Notamacropus eugenii: one gene and its partner. The protein of the gene in region 2 interacts with the protein of the main gene of each other region in a biochemical or structural test. Links are inferred from orthologs where the notes say so. Each region holds a gene or a part of one and is shown on either strand. Other genes may lie near its edges.

Region 1 (7,508 bases), on a different chromosome or scaffold from region 2:
AAATTAAAGCAATTTTCAGATTCAACTTCACACCCATCAGATTAGCAAAGCTGACAAAGCATCAAATTAGATAATTTCTGTAAAAAAAAGCCTTTAGCACAGAGCCTGGGACTTACTAGGCACTTAACATAAGCTTGCTTTCTTCGCTCTCTTTAGCCAATGACTGAGAGATAACACTACTAGGCTTATACCTTAAAGAGATTAAAGAAAGAGGAAAAAGACCTATATTTACAAAAATATTTATAGCAACTCGTTTTTGTAGTAGGAAAGTACCAAAAACTAAGGAGGTGCCCATCAGTTGGAGAACAGATAAATAAATATGTTTATATATAATACATATATGTTTATAATAGAATACTATATAAGAATAGAAGAAACATATTTCAGAGAAACATGGGAAGACTTGTATGGACTCATCCAAAGTGAAATGTTTAGAAAGAACAATTTATGCTATGACGTCAATATTGCAAAATAGAAATATTTTGAGAGATTTAAGCATTCTGATCAATACAATGATCAACTATGTTTTCACAGGACCAATGATGAATAATGCTACAAGTCTTATGACAGAGAGTTGAAAGACTAATGAACTAATATGCAGAATGAGAGACATCTTTAAATATAGCTAATATGGGAATTTGCTTTGCTTGAGTATGTTGGGGATTTTGGGTTTATTTGTTTGTTTGATCAGGGGGAGGAGAGGTTAGAAGAAAAGAATAGATGCTTTATAATTGAGAAAATAAAATTTAATTTATAAAGAAATATTTGCCCCATACCTGATTCAAATTGTGCTATGAATCCTTTTTTTTTTGTCTTTCATGTTTATTATTTATTTTTAACATTTACAAAAATATTTGTCTTCTGAATTCTCTCTCTCCCTCCCACTAGAAGGCAAGAAATGTGATATCAATTATACATGTGAAATCATGCAAAAAATATTTCTATATTAGCCATGTTGCAAAAAAGCAAGAAAAACAGTGAAAAAATTATGCTTCAACGTACACTCAGACTTCATCAGTTCTTTCTCTGGATAGCATTTTTCATCATGGGCCCTTTGGAATTGTCTTGGATCACTGTATTGATAAGAGTATCTAAGCCAGTCACAGTTGATCATAGTACAATATTGTTGTTACTGTGTACAGTGTTTTCTTGGTTCTCCTCGCTCCACTTTGTGTCTTCTCAAGTTTTTCTTTTTTTTTTTTTATTTTTATTTTGTAATGTTTAACAATCACTGCCATACAATTGTGATTTTATCCCCCCACCTACCCCCAACTCCCCCCCTCCCTCCCCACGACTGCATACAATTCTGTATAGATTCTACATATACTTTCCTATTGAGTATATTTTCACTATAGTCATGCTATGTAGTCAGACTAAGATAAATGAAAGAAATCGTATAACAAATCAGAACATGATACACAAACACATACACATACACAAACATGATCTGCTACAATATGTGAGTGACTTCCATATTTCTCTCTCTGAGTGTGGCAGGCATTTTGCCTTGAGATCCTCTATTGGGATTTTTTTTTTTTTTTGGTAAGAAGTTCTTGTGTTATTACAAAAATCTAAGTCTACCAGAAAAAACTCTCACACACTGTGGTTGTTGCTGTGCATAAAGTTCTCCTGGTTCTGCTCCTTTCACTCAGCATCAGGTCATATAAGTCCTTCCAGGCCTCTCTGAAGTCTTCTTGTTCATCATTTCTTATGGCACAATAGTACTCCATTACATTCATATACCATAATTTATTCAGCCATTCCCCAATTGATGGACATCCCCTTGACTTCCATATGAATCCTTTTAAAATAAATTCCCCACTCCAACCCCCTAGGGAGATCTAGACATGAGACAAAACCTAAGCTTTAAATAATTTGGTCCCGTAGCATCAGAGTGGAGGTTTAACAAACCAGAGAGGGTGATAAAAGGAAGTTTTGCTCTCATATCATTAGATGCCATGGTTCTCCAGGACTGAACATAGTCTGACTGTGTGCACAGATCCAGAGCAGAGGAGTCCTTTAGAAAAATGAGTACTTCCCCAGCTCCTTGGTCCTAACAGCAATTGTTTGATTTTAGGTAGGATAAATGGAGGCACAGAGAAGTTAACAGTTTCCCGGTGGTCCTAGTTCTGTATGGTTCCCCTAGGTATAGAAATGTTCCTACTGATAATAATAATAAAAAATAGCTAACATTTATATAATGCTTACTCTGTAGCAGGCACTATGTAACTAAGCACTTTACAGTGATCTCATTGGATCCTCACAATAAGGTAGGGGCAGCTATTCCCCATTTTACAGACAAGGACACTGAGGCAAACAGAAGATAAATGGCTTGTCTAGAGTCCCATAGCTAGTAAGTATCTGAGGCTGTATTTGAACTCATCTTCCTGACTCTGGTCCAGCACTCTATCCACTGCCTCACCTACAGCTCCTTAGGATGCAATCGTCAGAACCATAACTTTGCTCCACTCAGGTCTGGACTCCTGTTAGAGAAACCTGCCCTTTCAGAGTGTGTGTGGCAAAAGAAAACAGGGATGCTAGGTGGGAGAACTTGTAAAGGGGATTTGGCTGGAGCTCAGTCAGTGTTTGCCCCACAGTTTTCTACACTGGGCTCAATTACTAGGGCATGTTCCCAGGGTGATACATGCAGAAGGTACAACTCTCAATCTATATCTAATTTCACTGTACTGCCCCTTCTCTCTACCCTGATATTTCTGTTAAAGGCACCACTATCTGCTCAGTCACAACCTCAGTCATCCTTAATTCTTTCCTATCCCTCGCTGGATCCATCCAAACATTGGCTAAGTCTTATCAGTTCAATTTCCACATCCCTCACATCCATTTCCTTCACTCTACTCACTTAACTCCACCACCTTAGCACAAATTTGCATCACTTCTTACCTGCAATATTGTCATCACCTCCTAACCAATCTTCCTGTTTCAAGGCTGTCCTTTATCCAGTTTGTCATTTACAGAATTTCTAAAATGATCTCCCCAAGGTAAGAGTCTGAATATGACACTTCCCTGGGGATCTCGATTCTAATATGAATTCCTTAGACTCTCTTTCAAGGCCCTCTATAATCTGGTTCCAGTCTACATTTCTAGTCTTGTTTCCACATTATTTCCCTTCATGCACTATATATCCTAGTCCAACTAGACTACCAACAATTCAGTCCTTCATGTCCTGCCTCATATATTTGCACAAGTTATCCACCATGCTTGGAAACCACTGCCTCCTCATCTCCTCAATTGAACAAGCATTTATTGTGTACACTATATGAAAGACACTGTACTAAGTACCCCAAAATAATCTCTGCCCTGAGGAACCTTATATTCTGGTGGAAGTATAACATTTTGAGATGAATTAAAGAAAAGTCCACATGTAATATTTGAGCCTTGGAGAAAGCTAGGGATTACAAGGGATAGATGTGAGGAAGAACGTTCCAGGCATGCAGGGCAAAGGAGATAGATGTATTCAGAAATACATCCAATAGTTTCTGGAAAGAAAGTTGGTAAAGGGTTTAAAGTGTATTCTTTCTTAGAGGCAATAATGAACCGCTGGAGCTTCTCAAATGAGGGGATGACATAGACCTATGTTTTAAGGGTACCAATGTGCTTTTTGAATCGCCTCTAAAAATCTTTTCAGGGTTCAGTTTTGGTGCCAGTAAAACCTTGTGTGAATGAATTGGATTTCACCTTGGTCTTGGAATCAAGAAGACATGAGTTAGAACCCTGCCTCAGCCACTTCCTAGCTGTGTTGTTCAGTTGTGTCCAACTCTTTGTGACCTTGTGAACCGTAAGCGCACACTCTCCATGGGATTTTCTGCAGCAGCTTGTCATTTCCTTCTCCAGCTCATTTGACAGATGAGGAATTGAGGCAAACAGGGTTAAGTGACCTGCCCAGGGTCACACAGCTAGAAAGTTACTGAGGTTACATCGGAACTTGGATGTTCCGGACTCCAGGCCTGGCATTCTGCCCACTGTGCCATCCATCAACGTATGACAGCAACAGGGAAGATTTCAATTCATGAACTCTCTGCACCGTGCCACCTGGCTGCGTGCCCTTGTGTTAATCTTTAGGTACCAGGGGTAACTGCCTAGGAGTCAATCCACTAGGACGTAGACTGGTTGCAAGAAATGCTGACATTTTATTTGGCTAATCGGTCTTATCCATGCCTTAGCTCAGGTGACGCGTCAGGGCTGTTCCCTGTGCTCGTGGGGGGCAGGGTGCCCTGTACCTGGCGGCAGCTTTCAGGGAGCCACGCGCGGAGGGGTGACGATAACTCAGTGTGGCACCTCCCCGGGGTCTGCCCCGGGGCACCGCGGCCCGGGGCTGCGCCGAAGCCCCCCGCCCAGGCACAGACGCGAGCCCCGGGGGTGGGGTGGGGTGGGGGGGTGGGGGGGTCAGGCTGTCGCGCGTGGGCCGGGCGCGCCCCGGGGGCCGGGCTCCGCCACGAGGGCGGGGCTCCGCGGGGGGGAGCGGGTCGGGAGCGCGCACGCGGTGGTGTCACGGGGCGGAGCCGGCGCGGCAGCCCCTGGACCCCGGCGTCCCCGGCTCCCGGCTCCCGGCCCCTCCAGCCCGCGGCGGCGGCGCCTAGGCCTCATGTACCGCTCGGTGTACGCCTTCCGCTCGTCGGAGCCCAACTCGCTGCCCTTCGGCGAGGGGGAGACCTTCCTGATCCTGGAGCACAGCAGCCCGCACTGGTGGCTGGCGACCCGGGCCCGCAGCGGGGAGACCGGCTACGTGCCCCCGGCCTACCTGCGGCGCCTGCAGGTCAGCGCTGCCCGCGGCCCCCCCCCGGGCCATCCCCCCTGCCCGGGGCCATCCCGCCCCCCCGGGGCCATCCCCACCCCGGGCCTGGATCGCTCGGCCCTGGGAGAGCCCCGCCCCCTAAGGAACCCCAAGATCGCGGCCACTGGGGAGCCTTCGGAGGGGCCCCGGGCCCAGACCTTGGCGGGAGGGGTCCGAGGAAGCTCTGGCCCGGGGCGTGCCTGGGAGGGGTAGGCTTGGCTTCCGATCCCCTCCCTCTGCCTGCTCGTCTGCCCCTGACCAGGGATGGCTGGCTTCTCGGGATTGTGGGGAGGGGGGTGGGATGGAGGGAGGACTGGCCTCGCCCCTTGTTCCCGCTAGTTCTTTCCCCACTCCCATGTTATCCCCCACATCTTAGGAAGGTGATGGTGGAAACCCCCTCACCCCCTTCTTGTGAGACTTCAGTCCCGATGGGAAAGGGAGGTTGACTCTGCCTTAGGGCCAGGAGAGGGGTGCTGGTGTTTGAGAAGGTTTGTGAGTTGGACTGGGAGTGCCCCTTGTCTATAGTGAGCATCGTTTTGTTCCCAAACCAGCTCTCAGGACAGAAATAACCCTTTAAATTTGGAGAAATAGCAGCTGCGGCTGGCTGGGCACTTCAGCCTCCAGTCTGAGGAACGGACCTTTTTCCACTGGGAAAAGTCAGATTTGTCTGTGAGATCCATTCCTGTTCTTGGAGAGCCCAGGTCTGAGGATGAGGATGATTCTTGCCTTTGGAAAGCCTAGGCCTTGATTCTTTAAGACAGAAACCTAAATGTGTGTGGTGGAAAGAAGTAGATGAATGGGTGTGCCAGTGATCAGGGTAGGCTTCCTGGAAGAATTCCTGTGTTTGGTATTGTGGAGGCAGGGACAGAAGTTTGACAATTCTATCTGACCTATTCATTTGGGGTTTCTCATGGACAATTGTTGGGGTCACCTCTGGTTCAGACTTCTGCCCCCTCATGTAGCTCTATGAGGTGTGAGGGGAGGAGGAATCTTTTACAATGGCCTCCTGTATAAGGCCTCTTCAGAGAAGTATACCTTTGGGTATATCATATAACATTTCTGGGCCTTGGTTTCCCCATTTTGTAATATGAAGGACTAGATGATTTCTAAGGTCCTTCCAGCTGTAACAGCTTATATATTCCCATGGCTGTCAGTGGCTACATACAAAGTCCCTGTCATGACTGACAGTATTTGTGAGATCCTGCTTGTATCTGTGTGTGCACGTGTGGCTTTGCATAGCTGCAACAGTGTCCCTGAACAGCTCTGTCAAAGGAATGTCATACAGCAGCCCCTCCCTGGGTAGGGATTTAGAGCTCTCCTGTTTGTCTGTCTGGGTCTTGGTCCGTGGGTCCATTTGGCGCCTTCTGGGGAAAACTGGAGTAGGTGGGGGAAGGGAAGGATATTCTTAGGGAGCTCAGGAAACAGGCAGACACCCAGCCCACTGGTGATGAGGTCAAAACTGAGCTGAGGAAAGGAGGGTTGAAGTTGGACAAGAAAGTCTAGATGATAAGACCCTAGCACTTGGATCTCCTTCTTAGGTGTCTCCTCCAGTGCCAGGGCAGAGGCCTGAGATACCTAGTCACTTCCTTTTCTCTCTTCTCCTCTTCCTTCTTCTCTATCTCTCAATGTCTCTGATTTAGGTCTTGCCAGCCATTAACTGAAGACAAAATTGTGAGACTTGCCTTGGGGGGAAGGGAGTGGGTAGAGGAAGAAGGGGAAACCAGGACAACTTTTTATTACCCTTGCTTTTGGGGTGTGTAGAGTGAACCAGGTTGGATCAGCCTTGGGGAGAAGGTTATTAGACGCTGTGGGATTAAGGGGGGTATATAAGAACCTCAAAAGGCTTGCGGTGCCAAGTGGTGCAGTGACTTCCCATGGTGTCTGAGGGATGATAGGAAGTGGCACTACTGAGGAGACCTCTTTTCTACAGGGCTGGTCTTTATTCCTTTTGGCAGTATCTCTTGGGGATCCTGGGGAGCCTTTCCGAAGGGCTTCAGCCTGTTCATTGCTCTGGGTGGGGCAGCTAACAGGATTTCCAGATGTTTCTTTCTGACTTTGGTTGAGGCATTCTGTACTCCTGCAGGTCTGACGTGAGCTGTCGCATTCATGACTCTGATCTGTGACATTTTAATAATCATGGTGATGATAAAATGCTCTATAAATGTAATTTAATGTTAACAAAGCATTTTCTTCTCAACAGTCCTAGACTAAGGGATGCACCTAGCAATGTTAGCATTCCAGGCTCTGCACTGTGAACCTGCTCAGTCCTTGTTCTGAAAGACAGGCAAGACTCAGCACCCTCTGCTGTCCCTGGCTCTCCCATCCTGGTCTTGCCCCTCCTGTGCCAACCTTGGCTCCCTGGATTCTTCCAGGACATCTTCCCATTCTAAGCTGGGTCACCTACTGAACTTCCTATCCCCAACCTTATTCAGTACCTGTGGGACCAGAGTGGTTCTCCCCTCAGAGTATGGCCAGGATAGGACTGTACTAACCTTTATAAGGCAGCTTCCTTAGGAGGCAGTGTGATGTGATAGAGAGAGCCCAAGACATGGGCGTCAGGAGAAATGAAGCTCTGCTACTTACTAATGGAGTGACTCTACCAAATTCCTTCCCCTCTCTGGGCCTCAGTTTTTCATCTGTAGAATGGTGAAGATGGCGTTTGGGCTAGATGGCCTATAAGGTCCCTTCCCTTTGAAATCTTGCGCTCCCATGAGGA
Region 2 (7,164 bases):
AAACAAGAGAAAAGAAACAATGAAAATGATATGTAAATAGTCCTAACCAGAACTGGGATTGGCTATAAGGCTAGTGGTGACCCCAAGGTGTAAGGGGAAGAAAGAGGTTGCAATGGCAGCTTTAACATTATTTTTAACAAATCCCTTTTTATTGATGCCTTTTGCTTTTATATCACATTCATTTCCAAATGTATTTTTCTACTCTTTTCCTACCCTGCATGCCTTGTTTTAAAACATATCTAAAGAAAAAAATTAAACAAAAATTCATCCACCTGACAGTATATGCAATATTCCATACCCATAACCACTATCACCTCAACCTCTTTCATGAAATGAAGGAGGTGAAATACATGCATTTTTAATAGCAGAACCTGTCTCCTAGGAAGGTAGGCATTTTGTAGTAGGTCAAGATACATAAGTTAACAGAAAAATGGAGTACACACCAACCACAACCATACAAGTGAATGAGAATGATGGACAAAGAATCCTGATGAAGACAGAGGAAGCAAATGAAAAAATTATAATACTTTGTATCATGAAATTAATTTAAATACAATTACAATTACTAAGTAAAAATACATGTATTACAATGAAATCTTAAAGCCTCAGATGGATCATAAGACACAATTTTTAGACCTTGATCAGAAACCACAAATGCTTTGTCCTGGTATCTGGTACACAAATCAAAAGATCTTAAGATTTGAACACTACGGCTCCAAAAGAGAAAGCTAATGTTTCTCCAGGATTTCTTTTCTTGTCTAGGACTGACTAGAGGATTCTCAAGAACAAGACAAAGAAAATAATGATAATATGAAGAGAGAGGACCTAATCACAGTAAATAAACGAATATAACTACCAAGGGGTACACTTTAATTGATTCACCATTGGGCTAAGGAAGTTATTTTCTACTAAGGTTTTCAATAAGTTCTAATAAGTGATTTTACAACTGAAGTGGACCCAGAAGAACCTCAACTCAAGCCTTCATTTTTAAAAATTCACAGCTGAATCTGTCTAAATCCATATCACTCTCAGAAACCCTAGAATAATATAATCCTTAATATAATGGTGTCTGACACAGGCATAGAGAAAGGCCCCTACAGGGTACAGCAAACACAAAGGCCCAAGCTACAGTGAAAGAGATTAGAAGAAAATCAATACAAATGACATGAGAGAACTACACTTATGACCTACGGCAGTGTCAATTACTTAGGGATGAATTCAATCCTTTGAGTCCACTAAATCCCCAGAGGGGAGCCCGAGTCTCACATGCATCTCTGGCAACCCTTCTGGTTGAATGAAAAAATATAGTGGAATGTATATAGCATCTGGCTTGGTCCTTCTCAAACTGAAAGACAGTTACTGCTACACTGAATATAGGTGAAAGAACAGGAACAACAAAGTTAAAATTTGACCATTTTCTAAAGAAAAAAAACTCAAGCAAGCAGAAAATTGATGATGCACATAAACAAAAAGAAATCTGTTAATGATGAAATACAGATATCCATTGGGCACTGAATAGAAATGAGTTAAAGATGAGAGGATAACCAAAATTATTTACATGATACAGGTGTAGGTAGGGAGGAATCAGCCTGTAAAGGGTTTGTTTGGAAAGGCGGTACTCATAAAAATTGAAATAACAAAACCTAGAAATTCCTTTTCTAACATGCCTGGTCAATTCTTTTCAATTTAAAACTAAGTAATACCTGAAACCAAGCTCTAATGCATACTCCATAATCTCTTCTTCAAACTGAATTTCAAATTACTACCATAGATGAAGATGTCCAGAATTATTTTCTAAACAGGACATGGTTTAAATCAGTTTTACATTAAAAGCTTTCCAAAGAAAATTTCTAGTAATTGATTTTATTCTCCCTACACGTCCCACTTCCTTGCTTCAATCACACCAAATACTTCCCCCCCACCGTGATGCTAGTTTAAAAAAATAACAGAAACAAATGCACTTCAAATGGTTCCCTTATCCTCTCTTCCTAGAAAAATGCAGGCTTTGTGGTGAGTTCTCCGAAGTTGAGGAAAAATAAAAAATCAAAATCTTTCCTGACACCAGACAGACAGCAGCTGACACAGAGGTGAGTGCCGAGCATGTCAGAGAAGGGACATCCCCACCGCCCTGGCAGTCTCTTCTGAATCCCCTGCTTCCTGCATTAAGTCTGACACAGAGAATTATTAGTCATTTGCCTTAGTAGTTACCAGAATACAGTAAACGATTTCTGCTTCTCCCCGGCCTGGGTCTCCAAACGCTCAAGCCAAAGACAGACACAAAATGAAATCAAGAATCCCCCAGCAGGGGAGCTGCACAGCCTCTTCTCTGGGGGTCCCAGCATGGGAGAGAGAGGGCGCTGGAGGAGGGGAGGTCCCTAAGGACTAGACTGGGGGGATGGTTCTCAAAGAGTGGGTCACTCGGAACAGAGCCCCCCCGTGGAGGGGGCGTCTCGAAGGGAGGTGTCAGTGCAGGTAGGGACTGCTGCCTCCCGGATCGGGTGGGTGGGGTGAAGGGACGGAGGCACCGGCTCTTCCTTCACCCCCAGCAGAGGTGCCACAGCCCCACAGCCCGAGGCGGCCCCGAAGCTCAGGACCCGGCCTCCCCCTCAGGGCCGCCTCCCCGAGGAAAGGGAAGAAAAAGGAGTGGGGGGGTGGGGAAAGAGTCGGGCCCTGCCCTAGCTTCCCCGCCCGCCGCCCCGCACTCACAGTGGCGCTGAGCTCCCGCTCTCCGCCCCGCCGGCCCGTCCACCCGCAGCGAGCGGCCGCCGAGATCCCGGCGCTCCCCGCAGAGCAGCGCCCGCCGCCGCCCGGTAGCCGCAGCACCAGAGCCGCCTCGCTTCCGCTCCTCCGCTGTACTCCCGCGAGAACTTCCTCTCCTCCGTCGGCCCGGCCAGGCCCCGCCCCCCCGGGAGACTTCCCTCTTCCTCTCCTTCTCCCCCTCCCCCCGCCACCCAGTAAAAGGGGCCCCAGAGCGCAAGCGTTCATTCCCCGGCCCTGCCCAGCAGGTGGGGGAAACCTTCTCGGAGTCTCCCTTTGCGCAGGCGCACACGCGGGCGCTGGCCCCCGGCCCGCCTCCGAGCAGGTGTCATGGGGCAGGCCGTCAGGCATCCACCCTTCCCCCACCTCCTAAAGGAAGCTGTAACTGTTTTCAGAACCAGAGCAAAGACGCCACCTCCTGCCCTCCAGACTTCCCTCTCGCCTTCTCGAGGTGGTTTGTAACTCTTTCCTACCCTTGATCGTTTCCCCTTCCCCTTTTCCTGACATCGCCCCAACTAGAAATTGTAAAAGATGAAAAGAGAAACACATCGCCCACTATGAGAATACCCTAAGGATGGTAAGAGATAAGATAGGGGAAAAAGGCTTCTCTGTACCAAAAAAGGGCATACCAGTATCATCCTTCATCGGAAAAAAGAGAACCTGGAAATAACACATGTCTAAAGATGTGGGAATGACTGAATAAATCGTGGTACAGGAACATCATGGAATTATACATTTTTTAAAATATTGGCAGATACAAAGTGAGTGAAGGAAAAAGAGTCAAAACGCCTAAAAGCAAACGCCTAAAAATTACTAAAGAGAAAAAAATGATTCAGAAGGAGAAATAGAAACAAAAAAGGACGTTTTTGTTATTATATTGTTAAAGTATACAACTTTTTAGACAATTTGTAAATAATTGGGTTTACAATATTATTTATGTAACATCCTCTCTGGAGTATCCCCCAATTTGCATTCATACTTGAGATTGGGGTCCCCAAAGGATAGCTGGTACTCTCAAGTTATAGAGTACAGACTGTGGGTACCTACTCCTACAACTACAATTCTAGAACCTCCACTGGTGTGCTTACCATTAACAATTAGTTAACTGACATAATTAGCCCTTAGCAAAGGTTTAAATGCCTAAGATACCATAGTCCAGTCAATAAGCATTAATTTATTAAGTAGCTACTATGTTCCAGGTACTGAGCCAAGATCTAGGCTTACAAAGAAAAATTAAGATCCCAAAACAGTTCCTGCCTGGAAGTTCACAATCTAATGGGGGAGACCGCATGCAAATGACTATCTACAAACAAGATATATACTGGATAGATTGGAGGAAATCATAGAGGGAAGGCATTAGCATTAAAGGGGACCAGAAAAGGCTTCTTACAGAACATGGGATTTTAGGCTGAGTTTAAGAAAGCCGGGAGGCCAGAGTAAGAATAGAGAAAATTCTAGGCATGGAACAGTGAAAATATCTAGTCAGAAATATAGTGTCTTATGTGAGGAAGAGCAAAGAGTTCAATGTTACTAGATTGTAGAAAGAAGTAAAGGGTAAAACACTGGAAAGGCAGGAAGGAGCCGGATTATGTACATTATCTATAAAACATTTTCTTCAGTAAAGCTGGGGTGTACCCTCCCGAACATATACTCAGTGTTAATGGGATGAGTGAGCCTATATATGGTATGGGGGGAGTATGGAGTATGTGAGGGCTTGCTCAGTCCTTTTCAAGGCTGCTCATGAACCTTTAGTATCCACATGTCATCGAATTCTCACCTGTGTCTCAAAAAATCTGTAGCATGTACAGCATTGACATCCCAGGAAGACTATCTTGCAGATAGGCTAAATGAGGTTGAGAGTAACCAACGAACCTCAAATCAGTTGGTAAGCTAGGGGGATAGCTAACCAAAGCCTGTGAAAGCTTCCTCCCATCCCCATGGAATGGGTAGATGAAAACAATTCATTCCAACTACCACAAAGGTGGCCAAAACAGGTGAAGTGCTTAGAGCTTAGTCAGACAGCAAAGAAGCCAAGGTCACTCCCTGCATCTCAGGCCATCGGTAGTCACCTTGAGTTTTATCTTGCCACCGGATTTCTATGACACTGGAAGAAGGAGTCAGACTGATAACTTTGTGCAACTCTGTCTCACTTCAATTCAATTCATGTGCAAGTCAAGACTACCTGTGATGTCATTGGCTCCTCTTTAAAAATGGACAAAAAACAACAAGCGAGGCTATGTACAAAGAAAATATGTGGCCAAAGTAACTCTTGCCTTTGGCTCTTAGGAGCTTTAATGTCCTTCCTCTGCTTGTAGAATCTTCTGGAAGGTCCTCCCTGGGTACTGTGTTTCTGTTGGATATGGGCAGATGGGCTACTAGAGGTCCCACTCCATAAAGCTTCCTGAAAGCAGTCTCTCTGTGACTACCTGAAGTATGTGTGTGTGTGTGTGTGTGTGTGTGTGTGTGTGTGTGTGTGTGTGTATTCTCTCAGCTATGCCTTGAACTCTCCTGAATTCATTCTCCAACTGCTGAACAGTAAGAAGGCCAGTTTAGATGCATCAAAAGGTATGGTTCATGAATTAATGTATATTAAGACTAGAAAAAGAGGTTGGAGTTAGGTTATAAACAGCTTTAAATGTCAAACTGAGAAGTTATATTTGACCCTAGACATAATGGAGAGTTGGTGAAATTTATTGAGTAAGAGAGTGATGCCTCTGAGAAATTGGTGCCCATGAAGTTGTTTGAGTCCATAACATGAGGATTGGTTGAAAGAACTGGTTAACACATGCAGGTTGCTTTAAAGATTTCCCTTTGCCAGGAGAGTCAACACATTCTTCTGAGCAGAAACCTTTTTAATAGAGACAAGGTAGGGCTAAATCTAGCTGAACCAGTGTTTTGCATACTTTCTGAATATTCTTTCCATGCTACTGTTCATTGAATTTCCTTTTTGTTAAATGTTAGGTGGTAAAAAAAAAAAAAAAGTTAGATGGTATACAGTTGGCTTATTTCATTCTATTTCAAACCTGAACCATGAGACCAGACTGAATCTGGGTAATTGTAATCAGGGGAGTATGTAACTGGTAAATCATTTGGATAGAGGAGTTTGAGTATCTGTGAGTTATCCATTTTGGAATGCCCAACAGGTAATTGATGTGGAAATATCACTCAGGAGAGAGACTGAATCTGAAAATTTCCTTAGAAAATTGTAGAACAGATCATTAAAGAGATGGTAGGTCAATAGCTAAGAAAGCAGTGATTACAAAGAGTCAACATGGCTTCATCAAGAACAGGTCATGCTGTACTAATCACATTTAAAATTTTGACAGCGTTAATAAACTGGTAGATGAGAGCGCTGTTGTAGATATAGCTTACCAAAGTTTTAGTGAAGTTTTTGATTAAAAAAAAGATATATTATTCTTGTGGAAAAGATTGAGATATGAGTTAGATGATAACAAAATCAGATGGCTTCAGAACTAGTCAGATGGACAGAGTCAAAGAGTAACTGTTAATGATTTATTGTCAACATGGTAGATCTACAATGCAGTACCCTAAGGATCTGTCCTTGGCTGTGTGTTGTTTAACATTTCTGTCAGTGACTTGGATAAAGGTATAGATGACATGCTCATCAAATTTTCAGATGATACAAAGCTAAGAGGGATAGCTAACGGTGGATGATGGAGTCAGAATACAATAGGATCTTGATACCTAGAACATTGAGTTGGATCTAAAAAGATAAAATTCAATAGAGATGAATGTAGTGTTATACTTGGGTACAAAAAAATCAACCTCAGAAGTATAAGATTAAGGAAGTATTGTTAGATGGCAGTTAAAAAAAAGATCTGAGGGTTCTAGTGGACTGCAAGCTCAATATGAGCTTGAGAGTATCCTGAGAAGGGCAACCAGAATGGTGAAAGGCAGTGAGTCCATAGTATATAAGCACTAGTTGAAAGAAGCAGGCAGTAAAAATGTTTATAGTAACTCTTTTTATGGTGGCCAAGAACTGGAAATTGAGGGGCTGCCTATCAATTGGAGAATAGTTGAACAAATTATGCTATGTGAATGTGATAGACTACTGTCATGTTATAAGAAATGAAAGGAACAGTTCAGAGAAATCTGGGAAGAGTTGTATGAACTGATGCAGCATTGAGTGAGCAGAACCAAAGAATAATTTATACAATAACAATAATATTGCTAAGACAACTTTGAAAAACTTGGGAATTCTGATCAATGCAATGACCACCCATGATTCCAGAGGACTCATAATAAAGCAAGTTACCTACCTCCTGAGAGAAGACAATAGAATCATAGTATAGACTGAGGTATTTGGGGAGGAGGTGGCCAAGGCCATTTTGGGGAATTTGTTTTGCTTGACTATGCATATATGTTTTTTAACAGGGAGTTTGTTTT

The links.
Region 1: the proteins of GRB2 (region 2) and NCKIPSD form a complex in vitro, tested with the Homo sapiens proteins (2 studies listed by BioGRID). The link is inferred for Notamacropus eugenii from reciprocal best matches to the Homo sapiens genes GRB2 and NCKIPSD.

What each region holds. Positions count from the first base shown.
Region 1 is NC_092872.1:7,812,315-7,819,822, forward strand, and holds the start of NCKIPSD (NCK-interacting protein with SH3 domain), read left to right. Parts: upstream 1-4,501; 5' UTR 4,502-4,603; coding exon 4,604-4,774; intron 4,775-7,508. UniProt on the Homo sapiens protein: Has an important role in stress fiber formation induced by active diaphanous protein homolog 1 (DRF1). Induces microspike formation, in vivo. In vitro, stimulates N-WASP-induced ARP2/3 complex activation in the absence of CDC42.
Region 2 is NC_092873.1:341,472,171-341,479,334, forward strand, and holds the start of GRB2 (growth factor receptor-bound protein 2), read right to left. Parts: upstream 3,020-7,164; 5' UTR 2,707-3,019; intron 1-2,706. UniProt on the Homo sapiens protein: Non-enzymatic adapter protein that plays a pivotal role in precisely regulated signaling cascades from cell surface receptors to cellular responses, including signaling transduction and gene expression.